Neurospora crassa OR74A: one gene and its partners. The protein of the gene in region 3 interacts with the protein of the main gene of each other region in a pairwise test. Links are inferred from orthologs where the notes say so. Each region holds a gene or a part of one and is shown on either strand. Other genes may lie near its edges.

Region 1 (3,395 bases), on a different chromosome or scaffold from region 3:
CAATTAACGAATGTTTGAGGTCGGCAATTATGGTTTCCCCTGGGTTTCAAATTTCACCCGCGACCTCGAAACGAGCTGAAGCATGCGCGCTCGAGGTCGTCAAGACAGAATATCAGTGGATGTTCTTGATTGCTGTGGTCAGCAACTGCCCTGCCCGGCCTGGGCAACTTTTGGCAGGTGGCTACCACTGGAACTAGTAGGTCGGTTGTTAGTGTCAAGTACCGTTAAAGGTATTGTGGTACGCTGAGGGTAGGGAGAGGGGAGCGTATGCCGATTACTGTGTACCTCTAGGTTTTGCACCTGCTTAACAGAGCTCAAAGCTCGAGCCATCTGATACCTACCTCTAGATAGTGTTGTACATCCTGTCGAGCTGTAGTTTTACGGGCAGCAGCCATCCAAATTGATGGCTTCCAGTGGATTTCTGAATCACGGAAAACAGCAGTGTCGTTGGCCTTCCGCATACGGTACTTGTAGTCATATGAAGAGATATCGATTGCTCACATCGGCGAAGAGAAAATTGAGGTGGCGCGGTTATGCTTTCTATACGTCGTCTAGATGTCAACAAAACCCTTCCTGGGCTGTCCTGGCCAGCAGACATACATTGCAAGCATGTGGTGTGCCCCATTGCTTCGTCTACACGATGGCCAGCTATGGGCCTTTCACGTCGAACACATCTCAGTGTTTCAGTGATAGCAACCCCAATGCAAGGAATGCTTCATTACTGCCACTTATTCAATCGTTAGATACCAAATATGTCCCTACTTCTCTAGACGCATCAGGCTCAATCATCCTGCCACCATCTTCTGTAACCACATGTCCTCTTATAACCACCTCATATCTCCAACATTTCCAGTTAACAAACTATCCCTCTACCCCGATTTTGTTGTGATAATCTTGCACGCGCGTGAATGGTTGCCAACAAGTCCAGCGCAAAGACTTGATGGCCGTGCATCTATCTGCCTGTGTATCCTCGGGCCTCATTCAAAGCGGCACACTTTGTAACGAGCGGAAGAGGCCCGGCAGTTGCCCATAAGACGCTTAGTCAGTGTGGACGGCGTCAGCCTTGGCGCGGAGGCCGCTGGCGGTGGAGCCATTTTGGAAGTAACGGCCAAGGGTGGGGGCGAGGAAAGAGCGGAAGATGGTCTCGGCGCCCCTGTTGACATATAAGCTTGTCTTCTTGAAAGTCTGATAGAGGCGGGAAACCACTTACTTGAAGGTAGGAAGAGAGAGCCAGAGGAGGAAAACAAACTTGAAGGTGAAGTAGAAGGGGAACCAGTAGACGACGCTGATCAAGCTCTCAATGACGCTATAGCCGCGTGGTTAGATATTAAGCGCACCAAGTCAACATCGAACGCAAAGCCAAAGTGGAATGCTTACGTGAAGAGAGAGAAAACAACCCAGTACTGTGAATGCGGTGGTTAGCATGGACACCATAGGCAAAGACCTTATCAGGCATATCCCGACTTACAGTGAGCCACTGGGTATCATCCTGCTTGGAAGCGGTAAAGAGGGCATTGAGCGAGTAGTATCCGGGGAGGACGAAGCCAGCGAGGTTGGTGAGGAGCTGGCCGCCGAGGTTGAAGATGATCAGGAAGAAATAGAGAGCAACGAGACCGATGACGGCATAAGCCTTGGGAACGCCGGTGGTCTTCTCGAGGTTGTTGAGGGTAGGGTACTTGGACAGCTATTGAGGCAGGTTAGCAACGCAAAATCCAACGACGCCGTGGCCTGGCCGACATGTCTGCGATCCGGCTGCGGTTTACGCACCTCCTTATCGAGCTGGCCGATGTACTGCTGGGCGCGGTCCTGAGGCGAAGACATTTTGAGTGTTTGGTGCGGTAAGCAAGTCTATCGATCTAGAGCTAGCTGTGATGTTTCGACGTCAGCAAGATGCAAAGTTGAAGTTCAGGGGAAAATCTGAGTCGGAACTGGCGGGGAAGCTGAAGCTGTGACAAAGTGGGTTGGGCAGCTGGGAGGGCTGGGCCTAAAAATCGCAGCCTGCTCGGTGAACACCCGCACCACCGGCAGAGAGGTGACGGGAAGCTGAGAGAAAATTGCTGACCTGGCTTTCGAATTCACCGTAACGATGCTGTGAAGTGCAATGTGTCGTCTGACCTTTTGCGGTTAGGGGTGATGCTATCGTGGAAATGGCAGTTGGAGTGTGGGAACGGGTTGAAGTGGGCTGTGGGCTGTGGGCACAACGAACAATGACGATTGATACGTGTGCATTCAAAAGGGGATCATCCTGTTCTCAACCCGAAACTTGCCCTGCCCGTGGGGCCGCAAAGCTTCCTCCCGTTATCAACTGCATCTGACTGGTTCCAGAGCCCAGTGACGCCACATCGGGAGCTGTTTGACCAGGATTGGTAGACGAGAATATGGTCGAGGAATGGCTTGAGCGTACGGGTGATAAACTTATTGACTTTTGGCTAAAGTCATCAACAGGTCCGATGGTGTAGTTGGTTATCACGTCAGTCTAACACACTGAAGGTCCCCAGATCGAGCCTGGGTCGGATCAACATTCAACTTTTTCTTTTTTGTCCGTTGCACATTCTAACAGTCTCTCATTGGCCTGATGCATCTCCTTCTGTGCCTCGCCTAAGCTGCGAACGGCTCGTTTTTCTCTCCATTTTGAGATCATCATCATCCTGATATAACTTTCTCTTAACATTTCATGGATCCACACAAGCAGCTTACCGTTTTGGTCGCTTCTTCCCGCTTCTTGTAAACATCTACCATGGCCAAATGCGGCTAAACTGTCACGGTATCCGTCCAATCTTCAATTGGCCATGGAGGTTCGAAGATTTGGGTAGTAAGGAGAGTGCGTTACTCTCTCGAGGTTGCCTCGCCTGCTCTACTCACTTTGCGCTTTGATCTTTGAGACAGGCGGCCATGACAACTTGTGGACGTTTGAAGTTGAGTATCAGAACTCATGACATGGACCAACATGAAGCTTTTCGAAGCCCCGCGATACCGCTACTAGCGTTTTCGTGCAATCAGCTCCACCTCATGCGGGTGGGTGTCGGCCGCCGCATGTGCAGCGCACTTCACATTTACTAAAGAAAAGTGTAATCCTCTGCCAGATGGCTCACCAGGAAAACAACCAGTTTGATCTCTCCAACGTATCTATGACCAATATCACTGAGGGAGAGATCAGTTTCCCCTCGTTCTGCGAGCGGTCAGACGCGAACATGCTTGCCAAGTCAATGCTGGCGCAGTCTCTCGTCAACGGAGTGAAGTACAGTGTTTGTTCTGTGATCCTATGGCGGGATGACAACTCCTGTCAACCAGAAACGCAGCCAGGCATCCAGGGCAGTAATTCATGGTGGAACGTCATGGTGTAGTGTACCGGATGTCTGGAGTGACTGGTTCGGAAAAGGCATAGTATGTCGATC
Region 2 (3,302 bases), on a different chromosome or scaffold from region 3:
CATCATTGTCTGGTTGGCCCTGAGTATCCTGAGATTTTGGGTCAGATCGGAGATGATATGGACGGCCATGCACGGTGAACGTTCGATAACGGAATTCCCGAACGCAAACAACAAAACTCGGCGGTATCAGCTCACAACATTTTGTTTGGTATTCTTGATATTCCTGATTGTTTGGCCGCTTGACATGGGATACTACATCATCACTTGGAAACCCGTTTCTGCATCACCCGACAAACCACTGCTGCTATCGAACACCCGCACAGCACCGGCAGAACAAGAACCACCACCGCCCTACTATAGTGCTATTGGTGTTGCATAAGGGGGGAGTTCATAGTGTACTAGACAAAATCTACTTCGAATAGTCCTAAAGGTTATATGGATAAATCAAAAGGAGTTAGTTGGATTTGCTTTGGCATTTTGAATGTTAGAGATGGCGTGCCCAAGGTTAGATTGTACATTAGTTAGCCATGAAAACGCATAGGAAAGTTGACACGAGGTCTCGAACTAACAGACCAACCAGTACTAGACTGTATGTATTGCATTCATGAATGAAGCCTTGAGAGAACAAACTATGATATACGATGTGACTTCTGCCCCGAGAGCTTGGAAAAAGGCAGGGGGCACTGCGACGAACTTGCGTACAAATCGCTCGAAAGGAAATCTCCAGCTTCAAAGCTAATTCCACTCCCTTTCCGTCCCTACCTACTGGGTAAACATTCTCCTATTTTTCACCATCTCATCCACCAGCCCAACTCCCGCTCTGACTCCATCAACAACCATGACCTTCTTCCCCCTTTCCTCGCCGTACTGCTCAATCGCAGTCCGGCGAATGATTTGCTCCAGTCCAGCCATGCCCGCACATCCCATCACCACACACTCCACATCCCCAGCCTGCAACAACTTCTTGGTCGCCTCGGCCAGTTTCGCATCAATCACCTCCTTGGAAATATCTCCATGGAAATCCCCCGCATCCAACCCCGTCGTCTGCACCCCGGCAAACTTTGCATTATTTCCCCCTTTCTCCTCTTGACCCAAGAATTTCTTGACTCCCACAGTCAGGTGCTCCTCCCAGTACTTGCCCGTCGTGACAATGCCCCATTTCTTCGTCGGGCCCGTGAGCAGCGACAGGCAAGTGAGGACGGATGCTTCAAAGATGCCCGTGACGGAGAGGGGAAAGCCGTTGGATGAAGCGAGTTCCGAGAGGCCGGGGACGAGTTGGTGCACGGAGTAGCAGCATACTAGGACGGCGTCGTGGTCTTTGAGGAGTTGAAGGTTGCTGCTGAGGTCTTGGAGGACGTGGGTGGCGGAGGTATCCAGGTCGGTGCCGTTGTTGATGCTGGCTGGACAAGAGGTAGGGGCTGTGTAGTAGGTGATTTTGATGTTCTGGAGGGGGGTGTTAGTCCACGTTTTCGGTTATTAGGGGTGGAGGAGAGAAGGGAAGACAGACGTCGGGGAGGTTTAGGCTGGAAATAGACTTTGCCATGCCATCGGTCATGGACTTGGAGGAGTTGGGGTTGAGGATCAGGATCCTGATTGGTTCTTGCTGGGCGGTAGTCATGTTGACGAAGGAAGGGGGGTGAGTGAGTGAGGTGAATCGATAAATGGTCTGAGAGGGAAATAGTCAGGTCTGAGTCCATTTTGGGAGGTATCATGAAGTACTCAGTTTGAAAGATTGACGATGGTAGAACCTGAATGGGAACAACCTACTAGTATCGTAATGAGTTGGTAAAATACCGATTGTATCGACGGCCTGAGTGAGAAAGAATAAGGCAACAAAGGGTCTGATAACCACAAATGAAGAATCAAAAAAAGAAGGGACGGGAAGAACCAATATCAATCTCCACTCTCAAATGCACAATCCATCCCGTCTGATCTCTCACGATGCCCAACAAGGTGCATGTACTACTGAAGGTACAAGTGCGAGTCTCATGCGGGGTATCACGTGGGTACCCTAATGCCTGCCACTTCCTTGGGGTCCAGAATCCTGCCAAGACCCGCTTGTCATCGGCGCTCGTCCTGGTCAAAATAATCGAGACCTTTGACATGATACCTTGGCTCCTTGGGTATACTGCTGACTCTCAAGTTCTAGGCAATTACAGAATGAAAATGTGTAAATAGGGCTCTAGCTGAGGTCTTTTTGAATTGTTATATTCCCTGTCACGGTCTTGCAGCGGTCTTTTCTATGATCTTGACGTCTAGTGAACTGGTTTACCTAGCCTGCTCGCTCGTCTCCTTTATTTTGGCTCAGACGAGCGGCGCCCTGTTTGAAGGAAAGCTTGGCAGTTAGCGAATGACCCCACATATCGATGCTACCCCCCCAGCTAGGCTACCGCGCTGGACTCCAGCTAATTACGGTGCCGTAGTCCACTTCGCTACCGTAACCCGGACAGGGCACCGACACCACTGCACCGACCGACCGACGGGACCACCGACACTTGGTTCCTGTTGATTCACCCGCGGGAGCTTTCCATTCTAGCTCCGATATACACTCGATATTCGAAACCCCGACGAAGCTATTCGCAACTCCATTGAAAGTTACCAAACCAAACAGCCGCCCAGCATGGCCAACACCGACGCTCCCATTGGTACGTCAGCTCTTCTCTCCGCCAACAACCCCTTATCCATCTGGTGTCTCGAGCTCAAGCTACCTTGACGACCACCAACACCACCACCACCCACCCATCTGCCTGACCGCGTCATCACCGTCGCCATGGCAGCTGTAGCCGTCGGACTCCGTCCTCAATCACTTCCACTTCACAACAACAAAATGAGCACAGCGCCCAGCTAACACTTCCCCCCTCGAACACAGTCCTCGATGGCGGTACCGGCTTCCTCAAGGTCGGCTACGCCGCCCAGAATTTCCCCGAATTCCAATACCCCTCGATAGTCGGCCGCCCCATTCTCCGCGCCGAAGAAGCCAAATCGCTTTCCGACTCCTCCGACATTGTGATCAAAGACATCATGTGCGGTGACGAGGCCGCGGCCGCCCGTACCATGCTCCAAATCAGCTACCCGATGGAGAACGGCATCGTCAAGAAGTGGGACGACATGCAGCACCTATGGGACTACACTTTTCACGAGAAGATGAAGGTCGATACGCGGGGAAGAAAGATCTTGTTGACGGAGCCGCCTTTGAACCCGTTGAAGAACAGGGAGCAGATGACCGAAGTCATGTTTGAGCGCTACGACTTTGGGGGTGTCTATGTCGCTATCCAGGCGGTGCTGGCATTGTATGCTCAGGGTATGTCACCGCTCCTTTACACGGCGACTTGAGGAAACAAGTAGCTGACAGACAACGCGCA
Region 3 (3,621 bases):
GGGAAGGTACACGCCGGCGTCAGCAGGTGGACACGATGGTGGAGGGTATCGGCATCAACCGCATCACGGAGAACTTTGAGTCCGGGCGGGTGCTGATTGACGATGCCGTGCGAGTGACAGATGAGCAGGCCTGCCGGATGGCTCGGTGGTTGGTGGAGCACGACGGCATTTTCTGCGGCAGTAGCACGGCTGTTAACTGCGTGGCGGCGGTGGTGACAGCCATGAAACTACCAAGAGGCAGTCGGGTGGTGACGTTATTGTGCGACTCGGGCAATAGACATCTCAGCAAGTTCTGGAAGCATATTGGCGATATGGGGCTGGAAAACGATACCCAGGCGCAAGCGGAGGATCTTTTTGCGGAGTTGGGGCTAGAGGAATTGAAGAGGTAGGAATTGAGACGGACTGAACAACGTAAATATTGTGCCTGCTGAGTCAGGCTTGCTGAGTTCGCTGCTGTCATCAAACATGTGATATGTTCTAATTGTATCTCATCCGAGAGTCCAACAGGTCCACATAGAAACGTTTGTTGAGCCATATCGGCCATATGGCCTCTTAACGGTTATATTACTGCTAATGCGTGGTGTGAGGTCTAAGTAGGTCGTTGCCCGTCTCAATATCTACCTCTTTCCAAGTCATGAAGTAGCTAGTGATTCATCGCTCACCTCTTCGCTGGGGTATAAAAAATAATAAGAAAAGTTAGATGATCCATACTCCGATGTTTGAAGAAGTTCCCGAAGGTACAGCGTCTTCCGTCTTCGAGTAACTTTGTTTTCCATTTCCGCTCCTCCCCACCCCCTCCTCCTCTTTCATTGTGCTCTCTAGGTGGAGGGATATTCTTGAGACACCTCAATCTCATATTGCTGCCAAATGAGCTTCCAAACGCGAATGTGATCCAGTCATGAATTATCAGCCAACGAAGCGTGCAACAGGCGGATTTCCCCTTCAAAGTAACATATCGAGCCAGAAAAAAAGACGCACACTCTGCGGCCCAAGCCATACCAAAAGGAATGTGATGAAGGAGCTTGTTGTGCCCCGCCATTTAAGAGAACTAAACATGCAACTGTTAGCGATCAAATTGACTTCCGTCAAAGAAAGCGTGTGTATCAACCATACCTTCCAGCGGTTTCCGCAAACTGTGCACTCGCAGAAGGTCGTCATAGGCTCATCAGCCGACCGTGTTTGCGCCTGGCTGTACGACACCTTCCTCTGTCCGCACTTTCCGCACTTCAGAGCATCACTGATCGACTTCTCCGCCATGGGTACCTGGGCCTTCTTCATGTTCTCCTTCTCCAGCTCTTCATCCCTAGCGCGCTGTTCCTCCGAGGCCAACTCCTTGTCCGACAAGACGACAAGGCGTTCGACCGGCAGCTCGCCCGACATCACTCGTCGTCCCAACGCAGCGTTGTCCTTGCGCTTCAGGCTGGTAAAGAGGGTGCGACCCTTACTCCGGTACTCCTGGTTTTCGCCCTTGCAAGCTTTGAAGAGGGCATTCTCGACTTCGACAGCACGCTTGACGACTTCCTCAATCGACTCAGTTCTTCGGTAAGCGAGGCCGTTGTAGAGCACACCGATGGTGTTGTTGCGCGTCTGGCTCGAGGTTCGGTTGATGTCGACCTTGTCTGTCTTAAAATGGCGCTTCTCGACGTCACCAGTGTAGGGCTTGTTGTACGCGGATGATGCGGGCGCCGGGGATGCATTGGGTGCTGGGGAGCTGGCACCGGAGGCCGCGGCGGCCTGGCTCTTCTTCTTCGCCTCCTTCGCAGCTTCGACGAGCTTCCTCCACTTGTTGACGATCTCGCTGGCAATACGGGCAATGTCCTTGTTGGGATTGGCTCGCAGCTTTCCCACGGTCACACCTGCTTTCGTCGACTAGGACGGGCAAAGTTGTCAGAACTTATACCGCTCACATAGATCGCTCTGCGCTAATGGGAGGGCAGAGCAAGACTCACGCGAAGCTGTTCCTCGGTCGGCTTTGCATCTCTTTTCAATTCCTCCAAAAGTTTGATGACCGTCGCAGGGGGTTCACTGGTGACAGCCTTGGAGAGCGCCTTGATGCGCGCGGCGAGTTCTCGGTCATCCATGGTGTGAGTGGGAGATGACGTTAGGCTGGCCGTGTGTGACTATGCGCAAGCGATAGCGTTCGCGTCAGGTAATCGGCGGCTTCGATTGGGTATGCGAAAATCTCCCTCTACTACGAGGTCAGATAGATATCGAGCCAAGGCTTAGCAAGAACGAGTGAGCTTGTCCTGGACGATGTTGCGGATGAAGATGGTCGAGCGGGAAAAGCAATGACGAGCAGGTAGAAGAGTCGCAAAGTGAGCAGCGATCGTTGGAGAAATGTTAGTGGAGCTTCAAAGAAAGAGCCCCACTCTGCCGGTCTTCAGGTTCCACACCGAACAAAGTGAATGGACTAACAAAAGGGCTGACAGGCCGAGACCGTCAAATAGCAATCGCTCAACAGACGAAACAGGCAGTCCGAATCTAACCGTGCACCTGTGGTAACCGTGGTAACAAAAGACTTCCTTTCAATTCCACGAGAGTGAGATCTCTTGCCAAATATTTGACGGCTGCTGTTTGAATCCGAGAAAGGCAGCTGAAATGAGAGCAAGTAGCAAACAGAGGAGAGGTCTTTGGTCCCTAGATCTGCAAATATATGGCAAAGCGATGCTGCTTATCGCTAGGCAACATTATGTATTTACAAGCTCCAACTTGTCACAGGCTTGTGTGCACCTCGCGGCCGGCTGTTCGGGCTCCGGATCCGGTGCAACCCTCAACATACTGCCTGTCATTGTTGATGTAGTATCTATCAGACATTACAGTACTCATGGTATGCACTTGAAGGAGCTCGGCTGCATTTGTTTACTGTTCCCCTGAACGCACCACTTGCACATCGACTTGTCATTCTTGCCCCAACAACAGGAAACACCCTTCACAACAACAGTTACTATTAACTTCAGTCGTCCCTCACAAACCGTCACAGAATACGCTAACTCAGGTCGCAGGGTGACATAAATCCTTCCACACAGATTCTTGAGCTGACCTCCAGAATATTGCTTGGAATATTCGGCAATCATGCTGACCTACCCCCTACTTCTAATCCATATGGTGCTCCTCTTGAGCCTATTTACTCCTCCGAAATTCTGCAAATGAATCGCCCCAAGAATCCCATGCGCCTGGACCCGGATTTCTGATACACCTCCTTTTAGATTCGTGCGCTCGTACCTGGCCTCTGGTCGGAAAGTTCAGTGCTGCATGTGCCTGACTCCTCGTTGGTCTTTATGAGTTTCTTCACCGATCTGAATTCGATGAAGCACGCAATAAGAGTTGCGAGTATTCCTAGCGGAATGGGGATGATGAGCGCCGCCTGAATCGCCTTATTGTAAACCCGAATCATGGCGGGCAGTTGCTCCGCCGATATCAAGTCGCGGAACGCTGTCGCACCCGCCTCGATCACCTGCTTGATGTCGACTCCCGGGAGCAAGTTGGCGTCGGCTGCCTTGAGCAACTGATGCTGAAATACACTGTTTCCTACCGACACGAAGATAGCGCCTCCAAGCGACTGAGCAGCGGATACGGCCGCAGTTCCCAACGCCACGTCCTCCTCGCTAAGTACCGTCTGCA

The links. The genes of interacting proteins can lie anywhere in the genome.
Region 1: the proteins of NCU02563 (region 3) and NCU06702 interact in a two-hybrid assay, tested with the Schizosaccharomyces pombe proteins (2 studies listed by BioGRID, with this or other methods). The link is inferred for Neurospora crassa OR74A from reciprocal best matches to the Schizosaccharomyces pombe genes tfs1 and yop1.
Region 2: the proteins of NCU02563 (region 3) and NCU07170 interact in a two-hybrid assay, tested with the Schizosaccharomyces pombe proteins (2 studies listed by BioGRID, with this or other methods). The link is inferred for Neurospora crassa OR74A from reciprocal best matches to the Schizosaccharomyces pombe genes tfs1 and SPOM_SPAC1F7.10.

The regions. Positions count from the first base shown.
Region 1 is NC_026505.1:4,331,002-4,334,396, reverse strand, and holds NCU06702 (yop-1), read right to left. Parts: upstream 2,241-3,395; 5' UTR 2,063-2,240; intron 1,867-2,062; 5' UTR 1,822-1,866; coding exon 1,768-1,821; intron 1,685-1,767; coding exon 1,469-1,684; intron 1,404-1,468; coding exon 1,378-1,403; intron 1,307-1,377; coding exon 1,211-1,306; intron 1,154-1,210; coding exon 1,039-1,153; 3' UTR 504-1,038; downstream 1-503. UniProt on the Schizosaccharomyces pombe protein: Required to generate and maintain the structure of the tubular endoplasmic reticulum network and the vacuole. Induces high curvature in membranes and causes membrane tubule formation. Involved in membrane/vesicle trafficking.
Region 2 is NC_026505.1:6,359,223-6,362,524, reverse strand, and holds NCU07170 (hydantoin racemase), read right to left. Parts: upstream 1,923-3,302; 5' UTR 1,708-1,922; intron 1,607-1,707; 5' UTR 1,559-1,606; coding exon 1,448-1,558; intron 1,384-1,447; coding exon 703-1,383; 3' UTR 504-702; downstream 1-503. Other genes in the region: NCU17050 (hypothetical protein), read left to right, coding at 53-319; arp2 (actin-6), read left to right, coding at 2,561-2,585, 2,810-3,241.
Region 3 is NC_026501.1:2,742,746-2,746,366, reverse strand, and holds NCU02563 (transcription elongation factor S-II), read right to left. Parts: upstream 2,322-3,621; 5' UTR 2,082-2,321; coding exon 1,950-2,081; intron 1,870-1,949; coding exon 1,114-1,869; intron 1,049-1,113; coding exon 1,040-1,048; 3' UTR 510-1,039; downstream 1-509. Other genes in the region: cys-12 (cysteine synthase 2), read left to right, coding at 1-389; NCU02562 (hypothetical protein), read right to left, coding at 3,203-3,621. UniProt on the Schizosaccharomyces pombe protein: Necessary for efficient RNA polymerase II transcription elongation past template-encoded arresting sites.